Regions from separate parts of the Mus musculus genome. Here all the other regions are reported to be linked to region 6. Evidence: microRNA targets listed by miRTarBase, many of them from high-throughput screens and not tested one by one. Region 6 holds a microRNA gene; each other region holds the end of a gene's coding sequence.
What was found. Region 6 holds the annotated microRNA mmu-miR-425-5p (AAUGACACGAUCACUCCCGUUGA, at 1,811-1,833, shown strand). A microRNA usually pairs through its seed, bases 2 to 8, with sites in the 3' UTR of a target mRNA and lowers its output. Matches are read on the target gene's strand: a 7mer-m8 pairs with bases 2 to 8, a 7mer-A1 pairs with bases 2 to 7 and ends in A, and an 8mer does both.

Region 1 (5,072 bases), not on the chromosome of region 6:
GCAAAGACAGAGAAGTGGCCCCCTGACAAAACACCCGAACTCACAGCCCCTACACTTGTCCAGTTGTTCTAGGTCAGGACGGTGGAATCCTTACAAACACGCCTCAGAACAGATGTCCCCTGTCGCCACAGTTTCCACGTCAGTGCCTTCATTAGTTACTTTTCTCATTATTGTGGCCAGGAACCTAACAGAGAGAGGGGCAGGGTTTATTTGAGCTCATCGTTTGAGGTTTTGGTAAGGGCAGCATGGCAGCTGTGCTTTCAGCGATAGAGCAGAGAAAGAGGAACGCCGGTCCTTAGCTCACACAGCTCCCCACTTGGCTCAGCAGCCAGCTAGCTTCCCCTCGGCCCACACTTCTCTGAGGGTACCCCGCTCACTCACCCAGTCTGTGAAGGCTTGAGTTCGCCTCTGTCTTTCCCAGCACCGAGGCCCAGCATTGGCTCACAGGGAGTGAATAGAATAGAAGTGCTTCATAGACCCTCTCAAGCATGGCGTGCAAGAGGCAGCACTCCCAGAGCCCTGGCCTTGACAGCTTTCTCTTCTCTTCCAGAGCCAATACAAGTTTGTGTGTGAAGCGATCCTTCGAGTGTACGAAGAAGGCTTAGTCCAGAGGCTGGATCCCAGTTAGGACAACTGTGAAGTGGTCGTTCCTCCTTCCCTAGGGCGACTTCCTGAAGAAGGGGGCACACATTCCCCTGGAGGCCCCCCCAGAGATGCTGGTCACTGTGGGAAAGGGATGAGCTTATCTGAACCCAGGCACTTTAAATTTCTGTGGAAAAGATACCCTGTACATAAGGACTGATGGTGTAGATATGCATGCAGCTATGACTCCTTTGGCCCAGAGAGAAGCAACAGGGGATCTCCAGTTGGGAACTGTGTTTCTCCCTACATATCACCGTCCCCTGTCATCCATCCTTGAGCAATGAGAGGGGACACCAGCAGTGTCCTCCCGCCAGAAGCCAGACAATGTGGCTACTTGTGGTTGCTCAGGTGTTTTGTGTGTTGTTCTGTGTGGGATTCCAAGGGCTGAACTTCCTTGGCAATTCCTGTCCATTACCCCTGACACCAAGGGAAACTCGGATGAATGTACCACAGGCAGGGCACAAGGGACTTCAGGCTGGAGGATGAACAGGATCTATTCTGCCCGCCCTCCCTCCCTCCCTCCCTCCCTCCGCCTCATCTCTACCCCTTCTGCAATCCAAAGCACCCCATTTCCCCCACCCCAAATTCCTTTTCTTCAGGATCACGCCCAGTGCCTGAACCAGCTTCATGATGTATGTTCAGGTGAATTCTCTGCCGAGACTGGGAACTAGGCTCTGCATAAGGCTGAGTCTCAGCTTCGGAAGCAGGCGAGCCTCTGCTCACTCCTTGTATACTCGGACGCCATGACTGGATTCGCCGACTACTGAATCTCTGGATTGCTGCTACTTCAAGCTCTCACACTTGAAACAAGACAATTTTCTTGGGGGGTGGGGGATGATAGCATCCAAATATTCAGAATTTTGGACCCTTCTTAGAAATGACCTTCTAGTAAGTGACCATGAGAAACACTGCTTCTCAATCAAGGGTGGTGTGTGTGTGTGTGTCCGTCTGTCATTGTGTCTCTGTGTGTATGTGTGTGTCTGTGGGTGGCTGACTTTCTCAGGATTCCTAACTTGATTCAAATTACTGTTGAGTTTATGTAAAGAATTCATCTCTGTACAGAAGAACAAGTGTGTTGTTCATTCACCCTAGGTTACAATGGTCTCCATTTCATTTCAGAGGAGAGAATCAGACTAACTGAATATAAACACAATTTGATGTTAATTTATTCTAAGTACTCTGGGATTTTGATTGTCCTAAAGAATTCTGCTCTGTGAATACCATGTTATTTTTTTTTTTTAATTTGTGGCAGGATTGTAGCGAATTACTATTTAAGGAAAATAAATTACATGAATGCTCTAAGGTGGTATTTTTAAATAGCTGTTTTTATGTATCGAAAAGAAAGTCAGCAAGTTTCTTAATGGTATTATAGGAAAAGGATACTTTGATGTTATAATGTATGTAGATGAAGCTACATAGATACTTAGCAGATACTGGACCAATTAAAGCATTTCCTAGTTGCAAGATGGGTAAGGACCTGTACAAAGGACCTCAGGTTTTTGAAGGTTCTTTATCTGCAGGCTCAGTTTATCTGTCTACTTCCCTCCCCCCTGTCTTTTACCCACAAACATCTTAGTAGTGCTCAATGATGTGAGTGAGAAAGGCACTGCTCAGTGCCCTGTATACTGAGAAAGTGGAATTTGGTTCTGTACTGCTCAACACCAGGTAGCCCTCATAGGAACCTGGGATCGATCTGTGCCTCTCTTTCCGTCTGTGTGAAATAATGAAAAACAACACTTGGAATTTGAGGACAGAATTAGATCACACTATGGAAACTAATTTCCAGCTTCTGGAATACATAAACCAATGCCACTGAAGAACTAGGAAGGCTGGCTTCTTTTGTTGGCCCCAAGCATATCAGACAAGTGGAACCCACCAGGTTTTCATAGAGCAGTGTTGTAGAGGGAAAAGCACAGAGCACCGATACCTTTATTCAAGCTGGGTTCTGAGAACGCTCTCAGTAAAGCCCCAAGAAGAGGAGGAGGAGAGAGTACTGGGTGCATTTCAGTGGCACTAGGCTGTTTAACAGACGACCGTTGTTTGATAGCAATGTTTATCACTGCCCTGTGTGCAAAGCACTTGCAGAATCTAAATGTCCTTGGAGACTGTTTTATTATTTTTCTGAAAACACGTTGAGTGTGGTCACGAAAATGCTGCTGTTACACTTATGTAATATTCTGTGAAGCTTGAAAAAGCTGCAGCTGGCCTCTCTCTGCCATTGTATGGGGCCAGCACTTCAGACACAGTGGTAGTTGCCAGAAACAGAGTCCGTGGGATCTTGAGAAGGACATGAAAATGACCCCAAAGAGTAGAGTGCCCAAGTGAACTGGGTCAATATTACCAATTTAAAAAACCAAAGTTCTGAGCTCTTGTTTTCCTGCATCTCCCATATCCACAGTTGCTTTTGAGAAGCTATGTTTCATCCTAAGAATTGCATCAGACTCAGGGTAAATATTTTGCCTGGGAAATTTGGCTGGTTGTGAATGGGGAAGATATTTATATCCTACATTCCAGCACCTTCCCAAAGAACAGATTAGACACCCCAGTGTACTTCCTTCATCCGGTGGGTTCCCTGCTGGTACCACTCTCCAGAATCCATACATGGTGTGTTGATTTTCCAGAGAGAACAATTAAGTGAAGTTTGTTGAGGGGTAGGGGGCAGGATGGATGGCTCTCAAACGTGTAGCGGTACTTTTAGTTTCCTCCCGGGGTCCCATGGGACTTAAATATGTTCTGATGCTTGTGTAGATTCTCTTATTGCTGTGTTCATGGTTGGCCCTCTCCCCCTCCCCTCTGCACGCCTTTATCCTTAAAAATTACCATTTGGGGGGGGTGCAGTAAATTGCCTCTTCATCCTCCCAAGGCAACAAAGAGGAGGCATCAGGGAAAAATGGGTGAGACTTAGTCCAGACCCCGGCTTTGCCCTCAGCCAGTTTGTTTATGTTGGAAAGCACTGGTGACTGGTGGGACTAGATGAACTCACAGTTAGATTTCAGGGAAACAAAATTTAACCTTAACCAAGTCTGAAGGGCTGACACAGAGAAACACCCGGTCTGTGACTTGTCCCCAAGGGGTTGGTTGTCTCAGTCCTTATCACTGTGGAATTACAAAGATAAATATTACCACCCTCCTGGTTCTTACCTGTCATCCTAGAGTAGACCTAGAAAAGACAGCCAAGTTCCTTGTGACCTCAGCCTGAGCAATCAAACCTCGAAGACTGATGATAGCTAACGTCGATTTCTTGATAGCTCTCGTACCACCGGAGCAACCACAGGATTGTGTGCTAAGCCATATTTTGTAAAGTTATCTTTAGTCGATCAGCAATATGTTTTCCTGTAAATTTGGAATGTTTTCTCATCCTGACTTGTTGTCGGAACTCTACTGAAAAACAACCTGATCAATATAAAAGCGTTCAAGCTATGCAACACTGTTCTTGTCTGTCAACATTTTTATTTGTGTGTCTGGTTTGTACCCCGCCTCCTATCAACTCGATGCTGTCCGCCCACCTCACCCTCCCTCTGGTTGATTTCTCGTGCAGTGTTTGGCCTTAGCACTCACTTTGGGGGACCAGTTTTAGATCAGAATTGGATTCTACTGTGAAGGCAGTAGTTTGCACAAAGCCCTATCCTTCATCCTACGCGGTTGCTGAGTGACTCAGTGATCAACAGGGTTCCAGGTCCTCAGAATGCAGCTCCTACCTTGACTTCCAGACACATTCAGGTGCTTGATAGCATAGCAGGAAGGGGAAGAGAAAAGCAAGACCTGTGTCCTTAGTCCCAGGGCCATATCTTATTCAAGGGGGTAGTTTTTATGCCAAGAAACCATATGCTGGGGCTAGGGAATGTAAGCTCCGTTGCTAGGGTGCTTGCAGAGCATGCGCGAAGCCCTGGGTCAGACCAGGAAGTCAAAACAGAAGGATCCGGAGGTCAGTGTCTCTACATTACAAGTTCAAGGGCAGCTGAGACTACCTGCCAGGAGGCCCTGGTGAGATGGCTCAGTGAGTACTGTACTGGCACTTGCTGTTGAGCCTGAGGCCTCAAGCCCAGACCAAATGTTAGAATCTCAATGCTCAGGAGGCAGGGGTAAACAAATCTATGAATTCAACGCCAACCTGGTCTACATGGTAAATTCAAAAAAAAGAAGAAGAAGGTGGGGGGTGGGGGAGGACAGTATGCATAACTAAATTTCACATGATCTCATTCTGAGAAAGAATTTGAGGAACAATGAGCCCTTTGGCCCCATGTAGTCTCTTCTTCTCATGAGAACAACATAAACTAAATGTCATCATGCCATATTGCTAAAAGAAAATTACTTAGTGATTTTTTTTTCAGGCTTCTTTTGATGTGTGTGGATTTCTTTTTCCAAGACACGGTTTCTCTGTGTACCAGTCCTGGCTGTCTTGGGACTTGCTTAATAGACTAGGTTGGCCT
Region 2 (5,072 bases), not on the chromosome of region 6:
TTGGACACGCAAACTTTATATGCCTCAGTACAGGGTAATGCCAGGGCCAAAAAGTGGGAATGGGTGGGTAGGGGAGTGGGGGAGAAGGTATGGGGGACTTTTGGGATAGCATTGGAAATGTAATTGAGGAAAATATGTAATAAAAAATATATTAAAAAAATAAAAGGAAAGCAGAGAAAGTAGGAATAGAGATGATGGAAGGCACCTGTGAGCTTGGTAGGACAATAGATGGCAGAGAGGATAAAGATCAAGCTACATTGTATCCATGAATGAAGATGTCAGGATGAAGGTCACAGTGTATAATTACCGCATGCTAATAAATTTTAAGTATATTTATTAAACCTATATCCTAACTTTGAAAACTAATTAGGAAATAAACAAACAAGAAAAGCAAAAAAAAAAAAAAAAAAAAAAAGAATTCCTTCCCTTGAAGGGACAGCCTTTTGGGAAACACTTCAGGTCCCCTTGTGCTTATCTTTGAACATGAGGACCTTCATACCTCCTATAGCAGGTTGGTCTGATATCAATGAATGAGAGTGAAGGCACGGAAGACTGGATACACAGAGCCTTGGACAGGAGCACAGTTCAAATAAAATTCTGGGCAGTCAGTGACATAGCCTAATGAGGGTAGAAGTGGGAGGGGCTACATGAATAGCCCTGTGTATTTGTCACTCTTCCTACTAAGGTGGTAAGATATCGATAAAAGCAATGTAAGGGAGGATGGGTTTATTTAGACGTATGGTTTCACAGTTCATCATGGTGGAAACCACAGCCACAGAAGCACAGCGCAGCTGGTCACACTGGATCCAGTTAGGAGCCAGGAGAGAAAAAAGGATGAATGCCCACTGTACTGACTAGTTTTATGTAAACCTCACATAAGCTAGAGCTGTCTGAGAGGAGGGAGCCTCAACTGAGAAAATGCCTCCTGGGATAAATGGAATGACTCTCATTTACTGTATATTATACACGTTATTGAAGTATATAAACTCTTTTCTCACATGTTGTGCTAAGTAGTCTAGACCAGCACAGTTTTGATTTCTTATGGTCAATTCAACTAATAATTCAAAACTAATTTAACATAGTATTTTTCAAAATGTTAATTTAATAAATGTTCACTAATTTGGTTGACTAAATTACAGGATATTTTCAAAATATTTTTACTTAGCAGAAACAACAAGAAAGAGAACAAATGTTGCCCGTGGCTCACAAGCATTTGGACCTCCGGTATCTGGACCTCTGCCACCTCTTCTGGTCTCCAAGGCCACTGCATGCACACGGGGCTCCCAGACACATGCAGGTAACAGCAACACACATGAAATAGAAATACCTTTTTTAAAGAAAGGAACTAACGTTGGCTCATAGGTGACAAAAGCAAATCGAGTTTAATTAACACAAAAATTAGCCTCTGGTCACAGTTAGTTTAATAATGATCTTCCATTGGCCAGAGAGTTGGCTCAGACGTTCACAGCACCTGTTGGTCTTGCAGGGGACCTGGGTTTGATTCTCAGCACCCACCTGGCAGCTCACAGCCATCTATAATTCCAGTTCCAGGGAATGAAGTGCCCCTTTCTGACCTCCTCAGGCACCGGGCATGCATATGGTGTGCATACATACATGCAAGCAAAATACTCATACACATACAATAAAATACATTTAAAACTTTAAAAAGTTTATCGTCTTCAATGATTTCAGCAACGCCTCTATCAAACCGCACTTACAGTTGACATCATTTAATGATCAGCCCACTGCACTGTCAGTCTGTCTGTCTGTCTGTCTGTCTGTCCGCAGTGTTTATCAGCTCTGCACACCCTTTCTTTCTAAGCATAGCCAGGGGGCTGCAGGCCTAGCCTCAGCGCCACAGAAAAGATGCCTGAGGTGTGTAGTGGGTCTGGCCCAGGTATCGATGGGATAGGAGCTGTCGAGTTATCAAGATGAACTCAACAGAAACTTCTCCCCCTGCTTTTCTAACTTGCTGTCTTACCAATACACATTTCATTCTGCCCACCCAAATTATCACTGTTTTAAACTAATGATTCTTTCATGTGAATATATCAAAGTAATTTAGTTCATATATTTCGAATTTCGCTTTTCTTGATCATTCCCACAGGAAGGCCTAGTGATCTGGAAAAATCCATTCAGGGTTCAGAATAGTGAACGCAAGGAAAGCCATGCCTTTTGCTCTGCTGTGAATGGCGTGCACGCTGAAACTGTCTGTGGACATCTACAAGGGTGCCTCAGAAAGGGATTCTTGTTTGCTTGGAAGGGGATAGGTTCTTACTATACTGTCCAGGCTTTCCCCAAACTCTGCCTCAGGGTGAGGTGGCTCAGTGGCTAAAGGTGCTTGCTGCTAAAAGTCTGACGACCTGAGTTCCATCCCAGGAATCTACACAGTGGAGAATGAACCTGCTCCTGTAGTTCTTCATAACTTCTCTGTCTTTGTGCACGCACACAAACACACCCCTCTCCCCCGTGGTTTTCTCTCAGGAACTGTAATATGAATGGATTCTGTGATGGTTTGGATATTCTTGGACCAGGGAGTGGCACCATTTGGAGGTGTGGCCTTGTTGGAATAGGTGTGACCTGGTTGGAGTAGGTGTGTCACTGTGGGTGTGGGCTTAAGATCCTCACCCTAGTTGCCTGGAAGTCAGTCTTCCACTAGCTGCCTTTGGATGAAGACATAGAACTCTCAGCTCTGCCTGTGCCATGCCTGCCTGGATGCTGCCATGCTCCCACCTTGATGATAATGGACTGAACCTCTGAGCCTGTAAGCTCAATTAAATGTTGTTTTTATAAGACTTGCCTTGGTCATGGTGTCTGTTCACAGCAGTAAAACCCTAACTAAGACAGATTCATTTATTTAATCTACTCAAGTGTCCTGCCAACTACTATCATCTCCCATTTACACAAAAGGATACAGATGTACAAAGACATTGAGTAACATGTTCAGGATTACATAGACAGCAAGGAGTGGGGGCAGGACTGGATTTAGCTCATTTGGCTTCAAATGAAGTAGTCTGTCTCATTACTGTGGCCTTCATGAACTCTACTGTATTGTTTAACCTACACTTAAAGTCACTATGAGGCCTGGGAGGTGACTTACTGGGGAAAAGCTGACTGCATGAGCTTGAGGTCCTTAGTGCTCCATCCTTGGAACCTATGCTGAAGGAGAGAACTAACCTCCACAGCTCTCCTCTGACCTCTGTGCTTAGGCCCACATACATGCACACATGCATGTACACACGTACACACAGCACATGTATACACAATTCTTTGAGTGTCCCAATTTGGTTCCTGTTGCTTTAATAAAACATGTACTAGAAGCCACTTGGCAGGAGGGAAGGGTTTATTCCATCTCACAGATTACACAGATGTAAAAGTCCATCACAAAGGGAAATCGAGGCAGTAAGGGCAGTTCCTCGAGGCAGGACCTGAAACAGAGGAAAGCCGTTTAGTGGCTTGCTCCCTGTGGCTAATTCAACGTGCGTTTGTATACAATCCAGGACCAGCTAACCAATGGTGGCACTGCCCACAGCAGGCTAGGCCTCCCACATCGGTCATTAGTCAGGAAACCGCTCTACAGACTTGCCTACAGGCCAGTCTGATAGAAGCATTATATTAACTGAGGTTCCCTCTTCCAAGATGACTCTAGCCTACAGAAACGTGACTCAAACTAACCAGCACACCTAGTCTTAGAAATGATTGTGTAAAAGCCACTTTACTGGGGCTGGGGAGACAGCTCTGTGGTTAAGAGAGAGAACAGCTTTACGGAAGACCTGAGCTTGGTTCGTGGCAACCCAGGACAGGAGGCTCACACCAGCCCAGAACCCCAGCCCCAGAAAAATCTGCCACCCTCTTCTGGCCTGTGAGGGCAACTGCACTCACGTGTATGTACACACAGACATACCTATGTAAACATAGTCTAAAATAACAGTACCAGCTCTTGGGGGTGGGGAGGAGGGGAAGAGATGGCACAGAGGTCTTGACATCTATTGCTCTTGCAGAGGTCCTGGGTTCAGTTCCCAGCAACCAGGGTGGCTCACAACCACCCACAACTCCAGTTCCAGGGGGGTATAATGCTTTCTTCTGGCCTTCATGGGCTCCAAGCACATACTTACATACAGAAAAAAACTCACTCATACTTATAAAAATAAAATAATAAATCTAAAGAAAAATTTCAAGAGGTCTTTATTTACACATGTATTTTATAAGCAACTGATTAAATAAATGACAAAAAGATCGTGGCAAAGACTTGATGCTCTCATCCCAGACTCTGCCCTGACACACTTAAGGTGAGGTTAAGATGCTAATGGAAGCGTTTCCACATTCCTCATCTATAGCAGCATTTGCTATTCAAAGCTGTCACATGCATTTTAGGACATACGATGGAAATTACACACTTAAAGGACACAGAAAAAGAAAACAACTTGAAGTAAACAGTTCAGGTAATGATTCTGCAGTTGTGAGAGTGCGTGACTTAAAAGTCAATGCAGCGTCCCTTCCGTTCCCAGTCTCCATATCGTGTAGGCTCCGGGCCCTTGGGTCCACCTTTTTCTTTGGTAACTGGATTTACATCATCCGGAAACTCTGAGGAAGACAGAAATATGGAGAAGGCAGTCAGCAGAGACGGCGAGAAATGAAGTGGTCAATGTTGAGGACAGGACTGCATGATCTAGGTGTGAGTGCCTGGGTCATCCCACTCTTTCAAGGAGCTGTAATGGGGCTCCTCCTCTCCTGCCCCCAGAGCTCAAGCAATGCATTTTCAATCACCTTTACCCCCGACACTAGTGACCCCCGACTCTAGGCATGCTTTCAAGTCTAAAAACCACTAGACAGTAGTTTCCTAAGTGGTGCTGGACCCGACAGGAGGGAAGGAGAGAGAACGGACAGCAGCTTCACTGAACTTGGAAGGTTTAGAAACAAGATCAATGTCGCCATTTTCTTCCCAATTTTGCCTTAGTGTTGAACTGAACAAGGTCTGTCTCAGTAACAGGTATATACAGGTGCTGACAGGTTCTATTTATGAGCATCCCTGCTGCGTAAAAGGATTTTGGTGTCAGCAGATGGTTTTAGGA
Region 3 (5,072 bases), not on the chromosome of region 6:
TCAACTGAAGCTCCTTTCTCTGTGATAACTCCAGCTGTGTCAAGTTGACACAAAACTCGCCAGTACAATTACTATCTTAAAAATGCATACAGTAGCTACCTGATCAGAATGGTGTGACTAAAGGAACTAACCTTTAAGATATCCCTACCTTCAGACCTGACACAGAAGTGTGTGTCATAGCTAGGGCTACTTGTCAGTGTGACTTGGCATTATTGAAGCAGTTAAGAGCTTCCCCGGGAAAGATGGTACAGTATTGGTTTTTACTGAATAAGTTTCATAGTTTCATGTAAAAATTGTCTTTTTTTCAAAGGACCCAAGATGGCGAACCAGCCCAACCCAAAGAAGCCCCACAGAAGCAAGGCTCCCCGCATCAGGAATGGTTTACCAAGTACTTTTCATTCTAAACTGACCTGGGGGTCTGTTTGAAGGAGGACATTAGAAAATCATTTCAACCATCTGAAGGAATAAATTAAAACCACCCAACCAGGTAACTAGCTGGGAGTGACTTACATGCGATGGATAGCTAAAATGAAGTGTGGCACGAACATTTCAGCTTCATTGTGACACCTGCTTATGTAAGAATGCCTATAGTTAAAGATGAAACAAGCCAGTTATTAGGAAGCACCCATAGGAAAATATTAACCTCTGATGACCAAATTACCCATTGTATTCCTAGTGCCTGTAATGTCATACTTCACTTGTGAGATATCAGACTTGTGACTGCCATGGTCTGCTTTAAAAATATTTTTTCCTTGGTCATCTCCACTCAAAGCTATGATTATATATATATGCATATGTACATATGCATATGTATATATAATTCCAAATGCACATCTAACCTCAAAATGAAGAGGAATAAAATAAAAGTTCAATATAAAAGGAAAGCCAATGAGAACAAAACACCAAACCTACCAGGAATGGACTGCAGCACGCTTGGATTGCATGTTTTGACTTCCAAGGTCTGGCACAGGCCACAGACTGCAGAGGGACACCACCTACCTCAAACAGCACTTCACAAGATTAAGCAGCATACTATCAAGTCTGACTTGGAATGCTCGGTGAACAACTGTGCCTCCTGTTACACATCTCAGCTTCGATGCATTATGCTAAGTCTTTGCAAAGGTTTCTAGACTGTCTGTTCTCTGATGCCAACCGTTGTTGGACCTGTTCTTTGCATCTGTGTTATCAGCCTCAGATGTAAGTAAGGCTTTCTTACTGCATGGACTCCCAGGAGAGCAGGGAACTGCCCATGGTGCTGAAGCTGCACTCTGTCTTACCCTTTGACACAACTTTTAGTGGGTAGACTTTTCTTCTCTCTGGTGCTGGCCCAGCAAGTGGCCTATCAACAGATGTCAATTCTATGCATTGTCAAATTTTTGCTCTTTGAATAATAAAACTCTGAACTGGACAATAAAAATGTCTTTGCCTCCACACTACCACCACCTGTCTTATTAATCATTTTCAAATTTTAAAGTCTCTTTTTTTGTTGTTGTTGTTGGTAGTTCTACATATAGAACCCAGGACCTGGAGCATGCTAGGCCAGTGCTCTACTACTGAACTACCTTGCTCATAAGAATACACTTTTTTGTTGGTGTTTGTTTGGAAACAGAATCTCACTATGTCTAGAACTCACTATATAATAAGACCATGACGGCCTCAAACTCAAAGATTTTCCCACTGACCCGAGTGCACGACCATACCCAGCTAGAACCCACATGCTAGCCATGTGTCCTAAAAGATTGGAGCTCATGGGTCTTTCTCCATTTTGAATGCAACCATTTGTCACCGTATTTGGAATGAATGGCACATGACTTTTCAGTGCCAACTTTTTGTCCTTCCTGCATAAGCTGAAGACACTGGAGTGTTGAGGCTGTTACACTAAAACTTTAATGATGGAGAGAGTATACAGACAAAAGAAATGCATTACTGCAGGTAAGAGACCAAGATGAAAGTGGGGAAGCATTCTTCGTAAGTCTCCACTATGGGGCCTCGTGTGCAACAGAGCTGCCTCTTTACAAGGGTACTAATGCCACTCATGAGCAAGCAGCCTTTATTGCTTTATCACCTCCTACCTAACAATTGGGTCCACAAGTGCTTAAAAGTGCATAGCAGTGGTATATAGCACATGGTTAGCATGTGCAAGGTCCTGAATTCAATCACCAGTAAGACTTAAAATAAATGTTTGCATATTTTCAGATTCATGAATCTACACAAGTTATCTTAAACATGGGACCAAAAACTAAACATATTCCCTGACATTTCTATATCCACCTTATTCTTTTCTTGGTACACCTCCATTTTTACTCAATGCATCAAGTATGCAAGTTTCCCCTTTCAGTGTCAGGTCATTGTTGGAAAAGTTTAGATCTGGGAGCATTTGGAGTTTTGGATAGGAAATGCCCACTCTCGTTTGCCATAAGTTCCAATGTTTGTCAATAAGCAGTGAGCACTGGGCGATACAGGTGGTTGTGCCTTTTCTGATCTGGGCATTTCTCAGCATTGTAATTCTTGGTAAGGCACAAGACTGCTTTTCTGCAGCCTTCTGCATTTCCTTGCTGCTGACAAAAAAGAACTCAGAGAAGTTTACTATGGTTCAAGATTTTGGTGGTTCAGTCCACCATGGCTGGGAAGGACAGAGCTGAAGTAGTTGGTCACAGTGTCCAGATGGGAGGCAGAGAGCAAAGAATAATGACGCCTAGCTCATGTTTTATTCAGTATTGGACCCCAGCCCTTGGGATGCTGCTGCCCACATACCTCAACCAACATAAACTTCTTCGAAGACATGCTAAGAGGTCTGTCTCCTAGGTGGGACTAGATCCTGTCAAGTTGATATTAACCAAAGGGGGCCAAGGTCACAGTCACTCATTTCATCCAGCAGGATGTCTGGTGGTTGAATGACCTGGTGACTTGGTTTTGGGCGTATATGTGCCCCAATGAGAATTATAAGTGATTTGTCTCACCTGATCATCGTTTCAGGTGACGATGAGGTTTGGTGTTCTGAGCCTGTTTACCTCAGCAGAGTAACTGGAGCACTGCTGGGTCAGCTTCTGGACACTGGCAGGTGTGTGCTCTCTGTGCAAGGATAGTTCTGCAGTGTAGACTAGGGTGACTGACTGCTCCTGACCACTGTCCACTAGAGGATTCCAGAAACAGACCTGACTGTAGCACCCATGCTACGCAAACTAATACCCAGGACTGGCACAACCAATGGTACTGGAACTGGATAGTCAAGAAGCTAAGTTCATGTATAGAAACTAAGGAAGTGAACGTACCATCTGGTCTGTTGCCAAAGATGATCACAAGCACAATTGCAGGACAGACAAATACAGCTGTGGAGGAAGGAGCAGAGTGGAGACGGAATAAGGAGCTGGAAAAGATCAAGGGAAATGTTTAAGACAGAATTTGGGTGAGGTACAGGGAAGGAGCCAAGGACAGACAGTTGCAAGTGGCAGAAATCACCACAGTGCTTCATCCTAGAGAAGGCGACCGGTCTGGGATCCATGCATATGGAAAGGCTGGTCTTACTCAGGTAGGCAACTGAAACAAGCAGGAAACTTCCTTGAATCCATTAGGTTACACATAGGAGCAGCAAACCAACGGAAACCCCTGAAAGACATGCAGCTTGGAATGTCTGTGTTCAACAGCCAGCAAAGTGCCACTTAGGAGGAGAGAGATGGAGCTGGGGGATGGTTCTGTAAGTAAAGCTCGTGTGTGTAACTGAAGCCCTGAGTTCATGTGGTTGTACCAGGATAAAAAGCCGAGCAGAGTAGCTTAATCCTAGAGCTTGGAAGGAGGAGAGAGGCAGGAAGATCACTGTGGTTTGCCAGCTAGTCTTGTCCAGTAAACAAGGCCAAACTCAGTGAGAAACTGAGTCTCGAAAGGTAATCTGGAAATAGCTACCACCTGGATCTCTAATGTCTAACACACATGGATCTTTGACCTTCACAAAAACACACACATACCCCTCCCCAAACATGTTCACAGATAATACTATACACACACAAACTGACAAAATGGGAAAATTATTTTAACCTAACCGTTGAATTCAATTTAAAATAAACAGTAACTTGTATGTAGACCAACTTAAAAATATTTTCACTAAGCACCAAGAATGATTTCAGTATTTCCACCATCCTCCTCATTATTGACAAACCAGCCAAAATGTAACCAGTTTATTTAGTTTTTAGCCAAGAAATCCAGAAACAGCCAAGCTGTCAATCAGTACTTCAGAAAATGCATGGGTTTTAATTAAGTGTTTTGTTTGGTTGGTTGTTTTGTTTTGGGGTTTTTTTTGACAGAAGTAGAGGGGACGGGGGCAGATCTCTCTCATGTAATCTACAACAGCTTCAAACTTGCTATGTAGCTGAAGACGAGATTACACTTTGAGCTTCCTTCCTCTACCTCCCAAATGCTACCATGCCAGCCTAAATTTTTCAACACTCTGTTTCATTTATATATTCTAATTAAGGGAACCTGATGGCCTTAGACTGGCTTAAATTGTTCCAGGAACTAGATATCATACAGTCAAGCATACACATGAAACTAGTAAGACCTTGCATAATCAAGGAAGTCCCTAACTCTAACAGGCATACAATAGAGCAACTAACATAGTCGCTACTCATAAAGCATATGTAGAATTTAAGGAAGTTGACAAAATTACAAACAAAACCCTGTGCCCTGAGATGAGGCGCAGCAACGGGGCATGCTGAAGCTCCACAGACCAGATGGCAGTGCTCAGACTAGGCCGGCAGTGAGTGGATGGTGATGCTTATGACCTGGGCTAAGGCTCCAGAAACCAAAATGGACAAAGCCAAGCTGGAGATGCACTGACTATTCAAGAGGTATGGAGTATTTGTTTTGGGTAAAGAGAGGTGCTTGGCCTTGAAGGGGGGGGGGGGGGGACGACAAACAAACAAAAAACAAGCAAATAAAACTCAGAGACAAATAGACAATCCAAGCAGGCTTGTGACCTCATACCTCACCCGAGCCTTCCCTGGGACTCCATTCCTTACCCTGACCAGCACAGCACAGCCCAAGAGCACTCAGCATGCCATAGTCCTCATGTGTGTGCC
Region 4 (5,072 bases), not on the chromosome of region 6:
AGTTGGGCTGAGGAGGTTGACTGAAATAGGTGGGCTGCCATGTCACTGCAGAGTCTGAGGCAGCACTCAAAGGGCAGGGCAGGCCTCCAGGACTGGGAGGCTTAACTACTTTTTCTTTTTCTGGCTAGGGTCCTGGTCTTGGACAAAGGAGTAGTAGCTGAATTTGATTCTCCAGTCAACCTCATTGCGGCCGGAGGCATCTTCTATGGGATGGCCAAGGATGCGGGACTTGCCTAGATGATGCATTCCAAGGGTTTCTTCCTTGTCAGATGGACTCGATGGCCATGAGTGGGGACATTTAGAGTTTTTTTTAATTCTGCAAATTGTCTCACAGTGGAATGAGGAAATGAGTTAGAGATCACAGCCAGTTCAAAGCCACGCTCTGACCAGTGCCTGGGTCTCCTGGTCTAGTCCACCATGATTCCTGTACTGCAGTTTTTAAGAGACCTTGCTCCTGCCTCTACATATGCATATTTTCCAATTTTTTTTTTTTAAATGAGCCTTTCTCCTCCTGGACCAGGGACTGCTAGGTCAGTCTGTCCCGGGAACAGAGACCCTGTACTGGTGCTGTCTGAGTCCACTGATGAAATAAAGCTGTAGTCAACAGCATGTGGGTCACATGTTACCTTCTTCTGCCTGTTTGCAAAGTCCGGGGGTTAGAACCTTCACGAAGAACCAGGGCAGGCCAAGGCCATCCTACACTTCTGTGTGGCTGCTGTTATCTGAAAGCTTCAGACCCAAAACCTGTGGCTATAAATACCATCTTCATAGCGAAAACTCACAGCAAAATGACAGTACCTCCCACTCTGCTGAGCAGAGGCTGAGGAAAGGTAAGAAATAAAGGCCCTGGGACTTGACCTGAGTGAGGCCGGGGTTCTTGGAAGAGCTGCGGAGCACACTTTTGAGCCCATTGTCATTCCTCAGTCTTCCAAGCCCTGCTCACCAGGGGAATAAGTGGATGTGACTCTCCCTTCCTGGCTCCCTAAGATGCCTGTTCACCAGGGAGGCCACTGGTCTTTCCTTCTCCTCTGGTCAAGCTGGGTGAACAGGAAGGCTAAAAGTGTCCTAGGTCCCTGCCTCCCCAGGCCCTGGAGCCATTTTGAACAAGCCAACAAAAGACTTTTCTGCACAGTCCATCTGGTCCCAGGACTGCACTTGAAAGGAACCTCCCTGTCACCTCCTCAGCCTTCGAGCTCACCCTCAATTGTACCCTTACTGTCGGTGAGAAGTGACTGACAGCGTGCGGGTGGTGGCTGGTTTTCTTTCCCCACCCTAAGTGCTTGGCAGTCACCAAGGAGATGGCGCCTTTGATCTGCTTTTTCTATATGCCCCGGGTTGGCCTATGCTGCAGGACCATTTGTTAAAGGTTAATCACTTTTTTTTTTTTTTTTTTTTTTTTTTTTTGGGCAGGCTATTTCTGCCCAGGATGTTTATGAGTGTATGGAAGGCGACTTCCATCCTTCTGATAGAGCAAGTATGAGAGCACAAATGCCCAAATTATTCTGCCTCTCCCTGGTGCTAAGAAAAGGTCTCTGCTGTGCTGATTTATTAGGCCAATTTGGCATGACGTCTGCTTTGTGAGGTGCTGGGAGGCCTAAACCAAACAGGAGATTCATTCAGCGTCCTTCCCTGCTAGAGATCTGAAGGTGGCGGGCTGTGCCTCCTCTCCTGTCTTGGGAGTTCGCTTCTGAACTCACTGAGGCCATGACAGGTGCCGACAGCCCAAAGGGGAGGCTCGGTTGTGTCAAGTAAATAGGATAATCAAAAACTGTGGTTAATAGGGGATGACCTCTATCTAGCTGCTCAGCGACTCCAGGGAAACCAAGTGACTGGGAGGGAAGACATCACACAGAATCCATCTCCAGACACGACCCACGGGGTGAGACAGTGACACTCGTGACAGGGCAGAGGCAGGCAACAGTGGGGTGGCAGACACTCGGCTGGGGATCTGGTCCTCTTTTTCCTCCACAGCGCCAGCCCCATGGGACTTCACAGCAATTTGAACCCTCTATGATTAGAATACAGTGGCAAAACGAGGGCAAAACGAGAGAGAATGGGCTGGGTCAGTTAACAGTTAATTTTAATAATACCTGTTATGTTTAAAGAGTCAACAACACACGAGGAAAAGTCTTCTGTGAATGTTTACACAGTGTGAACACATGCTTTAACTATGCAGTGGAGGAGGAGAGGAGCATTCAGTTAACAAAGCCTAAAAGAAAACCCCTTGTTATAAATTACACAACGCATATAAAAATATTTCTCTGAATGCATAGATTAAGACTCGGAACTCACCTAAGAGCAATCACACAGTTCCATCCCACTGCCCGAGACACTGACCCCAGAGGACTGTGGCAAAGCACAGGACACTGGGCAGAGCCATGTGGGCCACCACAACCTTTGGTCAGTCTGAAGTGCTTGCTTGCTCCTCTGTAGCCCACCTCCCAGCCAGCTCTACTGCTTCTCAGAATCTCTAATCAACCAGGGAGGCTGAAGGAGTCTCAACCCCAGTGATTTAGACATGAATTAATACTGAGTTTATTTCTTCTAAGATAGAATCACGCTTAATTGAATTACTAAACTTTTTCAAAGCAAATTAGGAGGGAAAAAGGTTAGTACATTTAGTTAAAGTAGTTTCTGATTGGTTGAAACACAAGGGAGGTGTCTTCATTAAAGCACTTGGGAAAGGGGGTGGTGAGCCACAGCCACTCCACTACGCAAACACTCTACAAGGGAAGTCACCAGCTGTGCCAGGGCCAGGCACCATGCAGTCACCTCACAGTGACCCACACAGTGACACTGGCTTTGAAGAACACCTCAAGCTCATTTCAGCACTCAGGCGGCAGTGGGAGGCCATTACCTCAGCACAAGGTTCTCTTCCAGTGCATCTGCATGTTTTCAGTCAACTGCAGTGTTCTAATAAAATTAAGTTAATACCCAGGAAGTTAAGTTTCTTTGGAAACTATAGGCACTATGGGGAAAAGCTTAAGACAGCAGGGGTCCCGTCAACAGCTGCTCCAGCCCTGTTCTCCTGCTCTTGTGTGCGCCAGGTCCTATCTATCTAAAGTTAAGCAAACCGAGGTGGCTTTTCGTCTTTAATGAGGCTGAGGGGGGGAGACTCTTGCATGCGCTCTTGGAGAAGAGTCGTACACCATGCTCCAGAGTCTAATCAGGCCCTCACAACTGACTGTGGAGGTAACGGGGAATTCCTAAAATTGAACAATTTGTTTATAAAAGCAACAGATTCCAGAGTTATGTAAAAACCCTAATAATTTTCAAAATAACCTTTATCTTTGATACAAAAATAAAGATGCTAACTCCTTTAGTTCAGTTTCCCACAATAACCTTTAAACCAGCAACAAGTCCGGGCTCAAAAGCTGCTCTTTGTTCCTGGAGGGAGTGAGAGTGGTGGGCGCCTTGTCCAACAGCGCCTGTGCTCTTCTTGAATGGTGCAATTAGACAGGGTGACAGGAGTGGCCACGGAGCAGGTGGTGGCTCCTTTAGAAAGCATTAGAGAGCCCTCTAGTGACTGTGGAGGGGAGCAGATGTGAAGATGACTGTCGAGACAGCCGCAGTCATCAGTGGTCATAAAAGAAAACTGGGGGAGGGGAAGCTCTTTTGGTTAACAGCCTATTTACAATTAGGTAACTATATTTTAAATACTTTAAACCTGAGTAACATTTATAAATATGCTATATGAGACCTCACAGCCACAGGTCATACCAGAATCCCTCTGTCCAGTACCTGTGTGTGCTTTCTTTCTTTCCCCAGTCTTCCTCCCTCATCAGTTCAAAATTTCTTGAGTGTCACGAGCATGCAACACCAAGAGAGGCACGCCCGGCCCTTCAGGCGCACTGTCAACAGGAGTGGCTAGAAATAGGTCTGCGCTCTCAGCTTCTGCTTTGACAACTCTCTAGATCCTGCACATTAAACACTGGCTCTCGAACCTTCGGCTTCTGCCTCTCAAGACTACTTTCCAGCTGTTCAAAGATTCAGCAATAGTTTATTGTGCACCAAGAGGCTTGGAAGAGTGGCACCGCTGCTGGGGGGTCGGGGCTCCTGCCTGGTGAGGCGGGGTGTTAGTGAACACTACGCAGTGGCACCAGGGGCCCTGGTGGGCATACGAGGCTTTGGGATCAATGGCTTGTCCTTTGGCCCAGAGATGACACATACTGTCACAGTACTCAGTGATGAAGTCCCTGCTGCATCAGTACGTCAGTTTTGAAGCTCTCCGGTTATAGCAAGGCCTCTCAGTCAGTGTGGATGCAGCGTTTCTAAACAGAAAATTATTGTCACTTATCATCAGAACCAGTTCCAGCTCCTGGAAGTCCTGGAGTCGGGCAACATCTTTGTCCTGAAACAAAACCGGGTAATGGATTAAAATTTTCTTTTCATTTAGTTAGCTCTTTATTACATTTGTTCGTTTTGTGTGCACACATTTGTGTTATAATGCACATGTGGAGATCAGAGGGCAACCTGTGGGAACTGGTTCTCTCCTTCCACCATGTGGGGCCCTGGGACAGACAGAACTCAGGTCTTCAGGCTTTGCAGTAGGTGCCTCTACCCACTGAGCCAACTTGCCAGCCCAAGGCAACAGAGCAATAGCAGCAGTCTGTGTCTATGCTTGGTTGGTTGTATTAATTCCAGGGTCTTGGTTCATCTTTAATCTAAAAGGAAAATTAAATCCCTGAGACAGCTAAGCAGTGATCAGCCCCCACATTTAATCTGAACAAGAAGGAGAAAGTTCTGTCTCTGTTGCAGGATGAGAATGCCCTAAAGGGACAGGCAGGTGAGTGTCAGGTTTCCTCAGGAACTTAGAGAAGCCAGAAGCTTGATGCTGGAGAGCCCATAGCTGGCTGGAGCATCACAAAGATGCCAGGTGGGCCGCATATCATATGGCATAAGGCTACAGGTTACTATGGGAACAACTGAAACAGGCCCATGTAACATCCTGCTATCTTCCAACCTTCAAAAGTGCCAGTGTATTAGAGTATGATCGTTCACACATTTAATCCTAGCAGGCAAGAAGCAGAGGCAGGAGGACTGCCATAAATCCAAGGCTGGCCTGAGACACA
Region 5 (5,072 bases), not on the chromosome of region 6:
TCTTTGATTCTGTTCTGAGTTAGGAATTATTTTACAGTCATTGTATATTTTACTGGAAACATTTCCCATTTCTGAGTAGTATTGCTTGCAATTAACAGCATTTTATCCAATGAGATTCACTATTTTTAAGTTTTTTTTAGTACATATATACAATGGAATACTATTTATGAAAAACAAAGACTCGATGAGATAGATGGATCTTGAGAATATCATCCTGTGTGGGGTAATCCAGTCACAAAAGGGCATGCACCATATATATGTATTCCACTTATAAGTGGATATTAGCCATAAAATACAGGATACCCATGCTACGCTCCACAGATCCAAGGAGGCTGGAGAGAAAGGAGGGCACAAGCAAGGATGCTCAAGTCTCACTTGGAAGGGGGAATAAAATAGTCTTAAGAGGAAGATGGAGGGAGGGAACTGGGTGGAAGAGGAGATTGGGAGGGGAGTGTTGGTGGGGTTCAGAATCAGGTGTGGGGAGAGGTAGGGGGATTGCTGAATGGCCATGAGAATTAATGGAAATCTGCAACTGATGGGGGGGGGGGGTTGTTCCAGGAGGACACAGAGACCTGGGATAGAGGAGGTGCCCAAGAATCAATGGGGTGTCCTTGGCAGTGACTCACAGCACTGGGGACATGAAGCCTGAAGAGGCTGCCTCCTGTGGCCAGGCAAGAACCCCAGGGGAGTGATAGAAACACCAACCCACCCACAAAACTTTCAACCCCAAATATATCCTGTCTACAACAAATGCAGGCACAAGGGATGAAGCAGAGACTGAGGGAATAGCCAACCAATAACGAACTCAACTAGAGACCCATCCCATGGACAAGCACCAATCCCTGGCACTATTAATGATACTCTGTTATGATTGTAGACAGGGCACGTAATTCTCTGAGAGGCTCTACCTAGACAGATGCAGACACCCACAGCCAAAGAGTGGATGGAGCTTGGGGACTCATGGAAGAAGAGGAGGAAGGATTGCAGGCCCCTAAGGAGATAGAACTCCACAGGAAGACCAACCGAGTCAACTAACCTGAACCCTTGGGGGTTATCAGAGAATAAACCACCAGTCAAAGAACCTAAACAGACTGGACCTAGGCCTCTCTGTGCATATGTACTAGGTGATCGTCATGTGGGCCCTTGAACCACTGGATCAGGGGCTATCCCAAAAGCTGGTGTCTGTTCCTGGGATATGTTCTTCTAGCTGGGCTGCCTTGTCTGGCTCAGTGGGAAGAGAAAGCGCTTAGTCTTGCAGCAACTTGAAGTGCCAGGGTGGGGGAGGCTGGGGTGGGGTGGGGTAGTGTTCCACCAATTCAGAGGAGAAGGGGAGTAGGGAAGGGGTAAGGATTATGGGAGGGAATGACCGAGAGGGGGGCAGTGAGCAATATATTGAAAAATTAATTAAAAAGTATTTTTTAAAGTAACTTTAACAATAATGCTCCCAGTCTCTATCAAAGTATAATTTTTCATAGGAGTGAAGATAAATTTAATAAAGCAGCAAAATTCCCAGATGAGAGGAAGTACTCTGATAAGAATAAAGTGTTAGTGAAATTACCTTGTGCTCTGAATGGGCCACTTACACTACTTGGACCTTCCATTCACTTCTGATTAGTACCTCCTCCTATACAGCAACATTAAATGAGCGCTGCTTATCAATATGGCTTTGTTGCATGTTTCCAGACATGGGAGAAATTACCAACTGCAGTACATACACTAATGCTAAGAACAGAGACCATGCTTCATGAAATTTGTACAGTTAAGCAGTTCAGTCTGCTACACTGCAGAGTGTGGCATCACTCTGCCGTGGCACACACTGAAACCACGTAGGGCTGTTGGGTGTAGCTCAGTGGGAGAACGCCCAGCATAAAACTGGCCCAGGGCTTGATGATCCCCACGGTGTGATTCAGTGTACCATACAGTACTGCCCAAAAAACCACAAAGCAGTGCACTCAGTGGCTGGGCCGCTCCTCACATGTGTTTCCAATTGGCAGCAGGCCTACGGACTGCGGCAGATCCTAAGCCAGACTCATCTGGAATGGTTATGACTGAGGGTGAGCAAGTCCTTCCTTACTGTTATAATGACAAACAAGGACAAGGGGGGCAAGCAAAGAGTAATCGCTTTTGTCTGAAAGGAAAAGTGTCCCCAAACATGCACAAGGTGACACGGTTCTGCCAATGCTGGGCTAACTTGCACTTTCTAGAACCTTCAAACTAGTGCAAGTGCAACCCTTCTCAAGTACCCACGGAAGGCCAAAAGCTTAGAATTAAAAACAGACCACTAACAAGTAAGCTTGTTTATATTGCTACTTAACTTGACTAAATGTCCATAAATTCTGATCAGAGAAAAATGGAACTAAAGTACTTGTGAGGAACTGTATTCACTACCATTTCCTAAAGGCCAAAGCCAGTCTTCCCTGAATATTTACTCTGCCCCAAGGTTGCAATTTTGACTTTTTATCCTAAGGGAAAGACCTAGCATCAAATCAAACTATTAACTGAGTTGCTTTGGAAGTAAATATTCAAGCACTTCTTCTCTTACCTGCCTTACCCAATCAACCAAATAGATTATGCCCTACTGTCTGAATTCACAGGTTCAGGCTGTGTGAGAAAAGACTCTTTCTTTTGGCTACAAATCTCATAGCTGTCTAGAGCATCACCAGAGGAGCACACAAACAAGTCTTACTTTAAATGCCTCGTGTACTCTGTCACAGCTTAGAGATTCTAGACAGAGCAAAGGATGCACGGCTGAAAACGCAAAAGAAAGGAACTGAGTGCTCACAGAATCATGGGAAACCTCCACTGGAAACTAGAAACTACTGATGGCCTTTTATCATGTATATGCAGAATGTGGAAAATGCAAAAAAAAAAAAACAAAACCAGCAAAGAAATGAAACTTAAGAGCAAAAGCAAATAGGAAGCCAACCCCAAACATTTCTCCTCCTTTACCTTAGAGCCTTGTCTAAACAGTGTTACTCAGAGACTACAAAACACATGATGGAAGCTTTATTCCTGACTTATGCCATCAATGCCAATATACATTCTATGCAATTAAGAAACTGATGGCATGCACGTGAACTAAGCTCCTTAATGACAGTCTCATCTACAAGAACAGCAGATAGTGTGAGAAATTGTCATCACTTAATGTGAAATCTGACTAGGTGCCACATCTGGCTCTGTGTTTAGCCATATTAAAGCACCAAAAAACTGTCTCTCAGGCAATATACTTCTAATTTCTTACTTCACACTTATCAAGATTAAAAAAATGCTATAAACATGAGGAATGTTAATTTACCCAGTGTTCCCAATTTTCTATCAAGCTTTAAAGAATATTAAACTTTTAAAGACATTCTTTTTCTCTGTATGAGCAGAGACAGACATGCAGAGAAGGAAAAACTACATGGCTTATACAATAAGTATACATAGATACTACATACATATTGTTCAGACTGCATGGTTTTTATATCAAATACAGGCTTTTCTCAGCACACAACTATTCATTGTTGTTAAAGGGTAATGAGAAACTTCAACAGCTAAGTACATACTACTAACAGTTCAGTTTTAAGAATTTGTAGGTTAAAAAAATACAATTCCTAGAACACTGTTATCAAACAAGTAAGTTTTATTGGCATCTAAAAACAAAATTCACCCAACATTGAAACGTCTTTGAATGTTTATGTTGTTTGCTTTTTTCTTTTTACTTATTGCAGTATGAGGAACAAATCACACACACTTACTTTGGAGTAACAGAGACCATCGTGGAGATTTTTACAAAATCACTTTTTAAAATCTCTGTATTATGCTCCTCAAGAATCTAGAGCCAGTCCTTGCATAAAATGTCATAGCTTTGTCTGTCTCCTTAAAATCCTGCAGCAGCCTAGAGTTATGGAGGAAATGGGCCACACCTTGCTGTTCTGAAATATGTCATTGCCATACCCAACCCAATGACAGCGTCTAAAACCTTCTCTTCCATAGGAAGTCTCCGACAAGCCGTTAGCATCTCCTTGACGTTAAAAGAATCTGGGGCAACATTTATACGTTATCAGAAAAAAAAAGTGTTTACCTACCATGTTCATATTAAGAACAATGTCTATACAAGTCAGTTGTACAATTATTTTAAGAGAAAGGTGAACATGAACATCAGATTAACTTAGTTCTGGTAGATAAACATGAACAAGTGTGGTGCAGTCAGCCATTAACCTCTTACAGAGATGACAACTGTACAAAAGGTTTCTTTTACCTACTGAGTGATGTTATGTCCCCTCAGTCTCTGTGCTTTCTACCACCGCTTCACTCTCTACACCAGCAACTGTGCCGCTCTCCTCCTTGTCTACGTCACCTGAAGACGCCAGTTTCTCATAGAGTTCAGGGTCCTTCTGTACTGGTAAAGGCGGTGGCTGAGCATGTCTCTCTGTATTTTCACCATTAACTTGAGGCACATTATCACCTTTCCGTTGAGAAGTGGCCCCTTCGAAATAATCAAAAACCCGAGCATGAGGAGGGGGAACCCAAGTGTTTTGAATTCTATCTCGTCCAAGACGATTTCCATTAATTTCTCTGCAGAAATCAAAATCTCTGTCATCCCTATCCCTCTGCCTCTCCCAGGGTCTTCTGCGGTCATCAAAATCTCTGTGAACTTCTTGACCAAATCCTCTGTTCCAAGGACCACTTCTAGGATCAAATCGGTAATTTCCAGCCCGAAATCTACCTCTTTCTTCATGTAAGCCTTTTGGACCACCAAAGACAGGCAGAACTCGATGCTCTCTCTCATCAAAATCTCTAGGCCCCCAAGGCTTCTCTGGGGGAAAGCCAAAGTGGTCTCTTCGACCAAGGTGGTCTAGACTTGGCCTCACAAGATTCTCCCTCATGTCCACAGGAGGTCTTCCAAAATGATCCCTAGCATCTAATGGAGGCCTTCCAGGGCCTTCTCTGGGATCTAGACGTCGCCCAACCACATCCCTAACATCCACCTGAGGAGGTCTGGTAATGCCCTCCCTGGTTTCTATAGGAGGAAAGCGGTAATCTCTATCCCCTTCCTGCTGAATATTGTCATTCCCAAGTGGTATTCTTTT
Region 6 (5,072 bases):
AAAGTAGCCACAGCGCCCCTTGCGTCCCGGAGGGCACCGCGCACCTTGAACGGCGCAGTAGGCCAATGCAGAGCCTCTGTCTCCCCATGCGGGTGTGTCAGCACCTGTCGCCCACCCCGCCCCATGCCTCCAGCGACAGTCCCTAAGGAGGAGGGGGAAAAACACCTGCTAGTACGGGCGCCCTAAGGGTATTGTTTAGGCCACTGCCGCGGCCTGTTCCTGGGATTCTCAGCCATTATTCGGGCTCCCAGGGACCAGGGCGGGGCAGCTGCGCACCTGGTCCTGTTATGAACACCTGGCCAGGGTGTGGTGCCAGCCTCCAGGCCCTTAATCCCAGGCTTTGGAGAATCGGGCTCCGGGGGCGGGGCAGATGGCTAAAATTTCCCTAGCTAGTCTCGAAATCGCTGCTTTCCCCAACCGTCACCAGCGCGACCGTTGGCGACGGCGCAGCGCTCCATGAGAGGCGTGGCCGAGCATGGATTGGCTTCCCGGCAGCGCGAGGGGGTGTGGCCAGATGGTTTCTCCTTAAAATGGCTCCAAGTCTGGGGACAGCTAGAGCCAGCGGAAGGGCACGCCGTGGCAGTGCTGGAGTAGCTGTTCGAGTGGGACTGACTGGGCCAAACCGGACCAGACGTGAAGTAGACCGCGCCTGGAGCACCACCCCGCCCTTGCGCGCTCTGCGCGCGCGTACCGAGAGTCTCCCTCCCCCTGTCTTGAGCTGAGTCTAGGGCCTACTGGCGCATGAGTCCTTGGCGTCCCGCGGCATGGGCATCTCTGCGCACCGGTTCTGTCCTGGCCTCAGAGGAACTTTGTCGCGTTCTCTATCCGCTGGACTAGACGGGTGGGATGCTTGACACAAATGGGGCTTGGCTGTGGGGTTCTTTGCAGGGCCGGTTGCAATGGGCTTGGGGGGAGGCTGTCCTGCCGCTGCTATGTGGGCCAGTTTGGCCCCTGGCACTTCATGAGCTGGCACCGTCACCAGACAAAAGGTCCTAAGCTTTGGGGAGTCCCAGAAGTGGACACATGGGTTTACTTCCTCTCGGGTCTCACGGAATCGCTTCCCTCTTGACGGATTCCGAAGCCTGCCCGGTACAAGTGGCTCCTGCTTGGGACTCACAGGGCTAATCCAGCCCTTCTGATCTAATCCGGATCAGGACCTCGTCCCGGGGGATGCCCCCACCTTCTATTGTTCTGGGGCCCAGGTGAGCGTCTCATTCTCACTAGACTGGTTTAAAACACCTACTCCTTCCTACTCAGCCCACTGGGAAGGGATGGGCGGGTTCCGGTTTGGCCTCAGGGCGAGTGACCTGGGAGCAAGAGCCCTCCTCCAATGGCTGGACAGCGGGCAACGGAATCCCAAAAGCAGCTGTTGTCTCCAGAGCATTCCAGCTGCACTTGGATTTCGTTCCCTGCTCTCCTGCCTGAGCAGCGCCCTGGCCCAGATAATGTGGTCTCTATTCTCAGAAACACTACACTACTGGGCCATTCTGATCTCCATCTCTCAGGTGCACCCCCAGACTGATGGTGGCAGTCAGAGGCGACGAAAAAAGCTCGGGCTGATGGCCCTGTCTGGAATCCCTGGAGAACTCTGACCAGGGAGGTCCTGGGTCCTCTCTCTGAAGGGCCGCAATGGCGGTGAGTCCCACAAGGCCGCCCAGCCCGCAGCTCGCTAAAGATAGATCTTCACTTCCTGGGGAAAACCCACCCCAACCGTCTTCATGGAGGGAGAGTAGCTAAAATCACCAACTTGCTGGTGGGTCCCAGCCCTGCTAGCAGCTGAACCCACACCACAGCATGGAAAGTGCTTTGGAATGACACGATCACTCCCGTTGAGTGGGCACCCAAGAAGCCATCGGGAATGTCGTGTCCGCCCAGTGCTCTTTCGGCACCTCCCAAACAGGGCCTCATAGCCCCGGCCTTCCCGAACTTTTCCTATCTCTAGATGTCACTCCTCTCCGGAGCAAAGTTCACCGGTTGGATTCATTCATTACTGGGGGAAGTGGAGTTTCACGTTACTTGGAAACGAAAGAGTTTGGACATAGAAAAGCTCACCTGCAGCTTGCTCTACCTGAGAGCTCTGCTTATTTGGGTCTTCTCATCATCACATTTGTCTTAAACTGACCAGTTGCCTAAAGAACCAAAGGTGCCGGTAACACCAGTTTAAAGGAAAAACATTAAAGGCTGGTAATCCTGGAATCATGATGACTAATTCCTCGGGTATCAAGATGGGCAATTCTATCCGATTGGGCTTTTACTGGGAATAAAGACATTCCATACCGCAGCCGAGGAAAGGCGTACCAATAATCAGAACTCAAATTTTGCTTTGTTTCGTTACTTTTCCAAGTAGGCGGTAAAGAGTCTTTAATGGAAGACACGAGTGGTGGCACACACCTTTAATCCCAGTACTCAGGAGGCAGAGGCAGGTGGATTTCTGAGTTCAAGGACTTTCTGGTCTACAAAGAGTTCCAGGACAGCCATGGCTACACAGTGAAACCCTGTCTTGAAAAACAAAGTGTCATTAATGGTACAGCCTTATTCCTTTGACATTTCGTCTCGTGCGTCTGGCCTTTAATTTGTTTAAATGGGGCAGAAAAAGAAAAAAGAGACATAAACACAAAGATGTGAAACTTTGGTGGCAAAGTGTCTTGCCTGGTAACAAAGATCCGTTATCAAAGTAATAATTCGGGGTGACGATTTTTTTAAAAAGGAGGAAAAATGGACCCTCAAATTTGGAGGTTAGGGCTCATGAATACAGGAAAGGCCATCGGGAGGGAGAGCTGGAGGCGTGGGTAGAATGTAAGCTCACTTGGCATGCTCGATCGCTCTGGTCCATTCAGGAGAGTCCACGGCCGGATCCCCGCCCCCGCCAGGCGGACCTCCCGGAAGCTCTACGGATAACTTACTTCCTGTTCCATTTAGTCTTCCGGTCGCCATGGCGACCGGGCGCCTTGGGGTTGGCGAGACGCTGGAGGCCCTTAATGCAGCTGTAGGGCCTGGTAGCCCAGTGTGGTTTAAGGAAACCCATGCCCGGCACCTTCGTGTTCGAGACTTCTTGGCACCGCGAAGCGCGCTACAGGCGCGCTTCAGGGACGGCCAGGTGGGTGCGCTCCTGTGGGGCATGCCTAGCGGGATCCACGGAACTACGGCCCACTTACACACATCTGCCTGCAGGTGCCAGAGTGCGTGTTCCGTGCGGTCTCCTGCCTGCAGGGTCCCGGAGTGGCCCCTGTACTGCGCTGCGCGCCGACACCCGCGGGTTTATCGCTCCAACTACAGCGGCCCGCTGTCTTCGAACATGTACTCGGTGCCCTGGCCTCCTATGCTACTCCCGCCAAACCTGCCTCACCAGGCCCGCGAGTTGTCCTACACTGCCCAGCACTGCGCTGTAATTCGGGGACGCTCCGATTGAGCCAGCTGCGTGCCGTGCTCGTAGCCGATCATCTAGTACGGGTACTGCGTGCTCATGGGTAAGTGCGTGTTCGAAGCTATAATGGCAAAAGACCGAACATTTGGGGATAGAAAAGGTGGGAGTCATGATAATCTAAGCCTGGTCCGCAGGCTGAGACAGCCTCCCTTGCTTTGCAGGGTACGTGTGTGCTCAGTGCCCCCGGTGCGGGACCCTCACATGTCAACTTTCCTCCAGAAACTTCGGGTGGAATGGCCCACTGCCTCGAAGAGCACCTCGACCGAAACACTGAGAACCTGTGTTCTTGCAAACCTTAATGGTTCTAAGGAAGCGACGCTGCCCCCTGGCGTCCTAGGCCGACTGTGTCTGAAGGAACTGGTAGAACAGAGAGGCACTGCTGGCTATGACCCCAGCATAGACCACTGTTTGGGTAGGACAAACGGCAGAACATGGGTGGGGTTGTGTCTCTGCACTGCCAGGCACTTCAACACCTCTTGTTTTCTGTAGTGACTGAAGATGTGCTCTCTGTGCTCTCGGAGCTGCAGGAGGCTGTGCGCCACTGGCCAGAGGGCGGCCACCCAGGCCCGGTGAGTGGCTGCCTTGACCTCTGCCCAAACTGGATTTTTGTATCTTTGTAGTAACTGCCCCATCTCTCCTCAGGCTGGGCGTCCAGATGCTGGTGTAGATGACTGCGTGGTTATACACGTGGTTAGCTGTGAAGAGGCATTCCAGCAACAAAAGCTGGATTTGCTCTGGCAGAAATTGGATGACCGGGCTCCTCACAAGCAGGTTGGTTACCAAAGTTAACCAAACCACCTCCGACCTCAGGCCTGGAATACCATGGGGTTTAGAGACTGATGTGACCATAGGCACCCGTGCTACAAGTGCAAATGTCCTGTGACTATGTAGTCTTAAGAAAAAGGATGATGGTGTCTTGAGGAGGTACGAAGGAAGGCTGGTGGTTACAGATTGGGAAAACCAAGGTAGAAAAGCAACTGATATAGTTCCCTGAAGCGGGGAGGGTAGTGCCAACTGGGCTGAGCCCTTCCAGTCTTTCACAGAAACACCTGGTGTGTGGTCCCGTGAAAATGGCTGGTGTACCCGGCACCCAGCTGACTGCCCCTCAGTACTACAGGTGAGTATGAAAGGGATGCCATCCACAGCCACCAACAGCGTAAAGGTAGGGACAGCTTTCACTGAGACCTTGCTTACTGGCTCGCTTTTCTAGGCTCAGACATGCTCAGGTGTGCGAGGCCTCAGCTCTGAAGCACGGAGGAGACCTGGCACAAGGTACACCTGGGAGATCCTGCGTGTGCGCTGAGGTGGAAGCAGGTCACGCACACCTCTGGCCTGTGTGCTTCGTCTTCAGACACTGACCAGCCTCTCTCGCACCCCAGACCCCGCCTGGACTGAGACCTTCGACATCCTCTCCGTGGCTACCATCAAATTTGAGATGCTAAGCACAGCCCCACAGAGCCAGGTAAGCCTCCCGACACCAGGACGGAGGATGCAGGTACAGAGCCAAGGCCCTCTGCAGCTATGTTACCATTCCCCAGCTCCTCCTGGCCCACAGCACCATCTCAACAAAGGGCACAAAGAGCGGGACTTTTGTCATGTATAACTGTGCCCGCCTTGCCACACTCTTCGAGGGCTACAAACATGGAAC

Region 1: the mRNA of Ptpn3 is a reported target of mmu-miR-425-5p. The part of its 3' UTR that is shown has no 7-base or 8-base seed match.
Region 2: miRTarBase lists Sdhaf4 as a target of mmu-miR-425-5p. The part of its 3' UTR that is shown has no 7-base or 8-base seed match.
Region 3: the mRNA of Fam184b is a reported target of mmu-miR-425-5p. Seed matches in the 3' UTR shown: 7mer-A1 at 686-692.
Region 4: the mRNA of Ankrd40 is a reported target of mmu-miR-425-5p. Seed matches in the 3' UTR shown: 7mer-m8 at 4,160-4,166.
Region 5: miRTarBase lists Scaf8 as a target of mmu-miR-425-5p. The part of its 3' UTR that is shown has no 7-base or 8-base seed match.

The regions. Positions count from the first base shown.
Region 1 is chr4:57,189,841-57,194,912 of GRCm38, reverse strand. It overlaps Ptpn3 (protein tyrosine phosphatase, non-receptor type 3), which reads left to right. Exons shown (of 26, transcript NM_001384115.1): 26 at 551-4,067. The coding sequence ends at 628. Among named protein-coding and RNA genes, the nearest start is that of Gm12530, 20 kb to the right of the region's middle.
Region 2 is chr1:23,991,777-23,996,848 of GRCm38, forward strand. It overlaps Sdhaf4 (succinate dehydrogenase complex assembly factor 4), which reads right to left. Exons shown (of 3, transcript NM_026503.3): 3 at 4,163-4,584. The coding sequence ends at 4,475. It overlaps Gm53062 (a long non-coding RNA gene), which reads left to right. Exons shown (of 5, transcript XR_865295.2): 4 at 1,166-1,297. Among named protein-coding and RNA genes, the nearest start is that of Sdhaf4, 11 kb to the right of the region's middle.
Region 3 is chr5:45,526,069-45,531,140 of GRCm38, reverse strand. It overlaps Fam184b (family with sequence similarity 184, member B), which reads left to right. Exons shown (of 16, transcript NM_021416.3): 16 at 311-1,436. The coding sequence ends at 404. Med28 (mediator complex subunit 28) reads right to left here. Exons shown (of 4, transcript NM_025895.4): 4 at 1,857-5,072. Among named protein-coding and RNA genes, the nearest start is that of Med28, 8.4 kb to the right of the region's middle.
Region 4 is chr11:94,338,832-94,343,903 of GRCm38, reverse strand. It overlaps Ankrd40 (ankyrin repeat domain 40), which reads right to left. Exons shown (of 5, transcript NM_027799.2): 5 at 2,057-4,351. The coding sequence ends at 4,205. Abcc3 (ATP-binding cassette, sub-family C (CFTR/MRP), member 3) reads left to right here. Exons shown (of 31, transcript NM_001363187.1): 31 at 129-609. The coding sequence ends at 237. Among named protein-coding and RNA genes, the nearest start is that of Gm51871, 11 kb to the left of the region's middle.
Region 5 is chr17:3,197,392-3,202,463 of GRCm38, reverse strand. Scaf8 (SR-related CTD-associated factor 8) reads right to left here. Exons shown (of 20, transcript NM_134123.3): 20 at 3,605-5,072. The coding sequence ends at 4,254. Among named protein-coding and RNA genes, the nearest start is that of Gm34035, 83 kb to the left of the region's middle.
Region 6 is chr9:108,566,979-108,572,050 of GRCm38, forward strand. Mir425 (microRNA 425) reads left to right here and starts at 1,799; the gene lies at 1,799-1,883. It overlaps Ndufaf3 (NADH:ubiquinone oxidoreductase complex assembly factor 3), which reads right to left and starts at 458. Exons shown (of 5, transcript NM_023247.2): 1 at 1-458. It overlaps Dalrd3 (DALR anticodon binding domain containing 3), which reads left to right and starts at 2,914. Exons shown (of 12, transcript NM_026378.3): 1 at 2,914-3,097; 2 at 3,172-3,467; 3 at 3,586-3,836; 4 at 3,914-3,993; 5 at 4,067-4,195; 6 at 4,468-4,541; 7 at 4,635-4,696; 8 at 4,804-4,886; 9 at 4,963-5,072. The coding sequence starts at 2,933. It overlaps Mir191 (microRNA 191), which reads left to right and starts at 1,341; the gene lies at 1,341-1,414.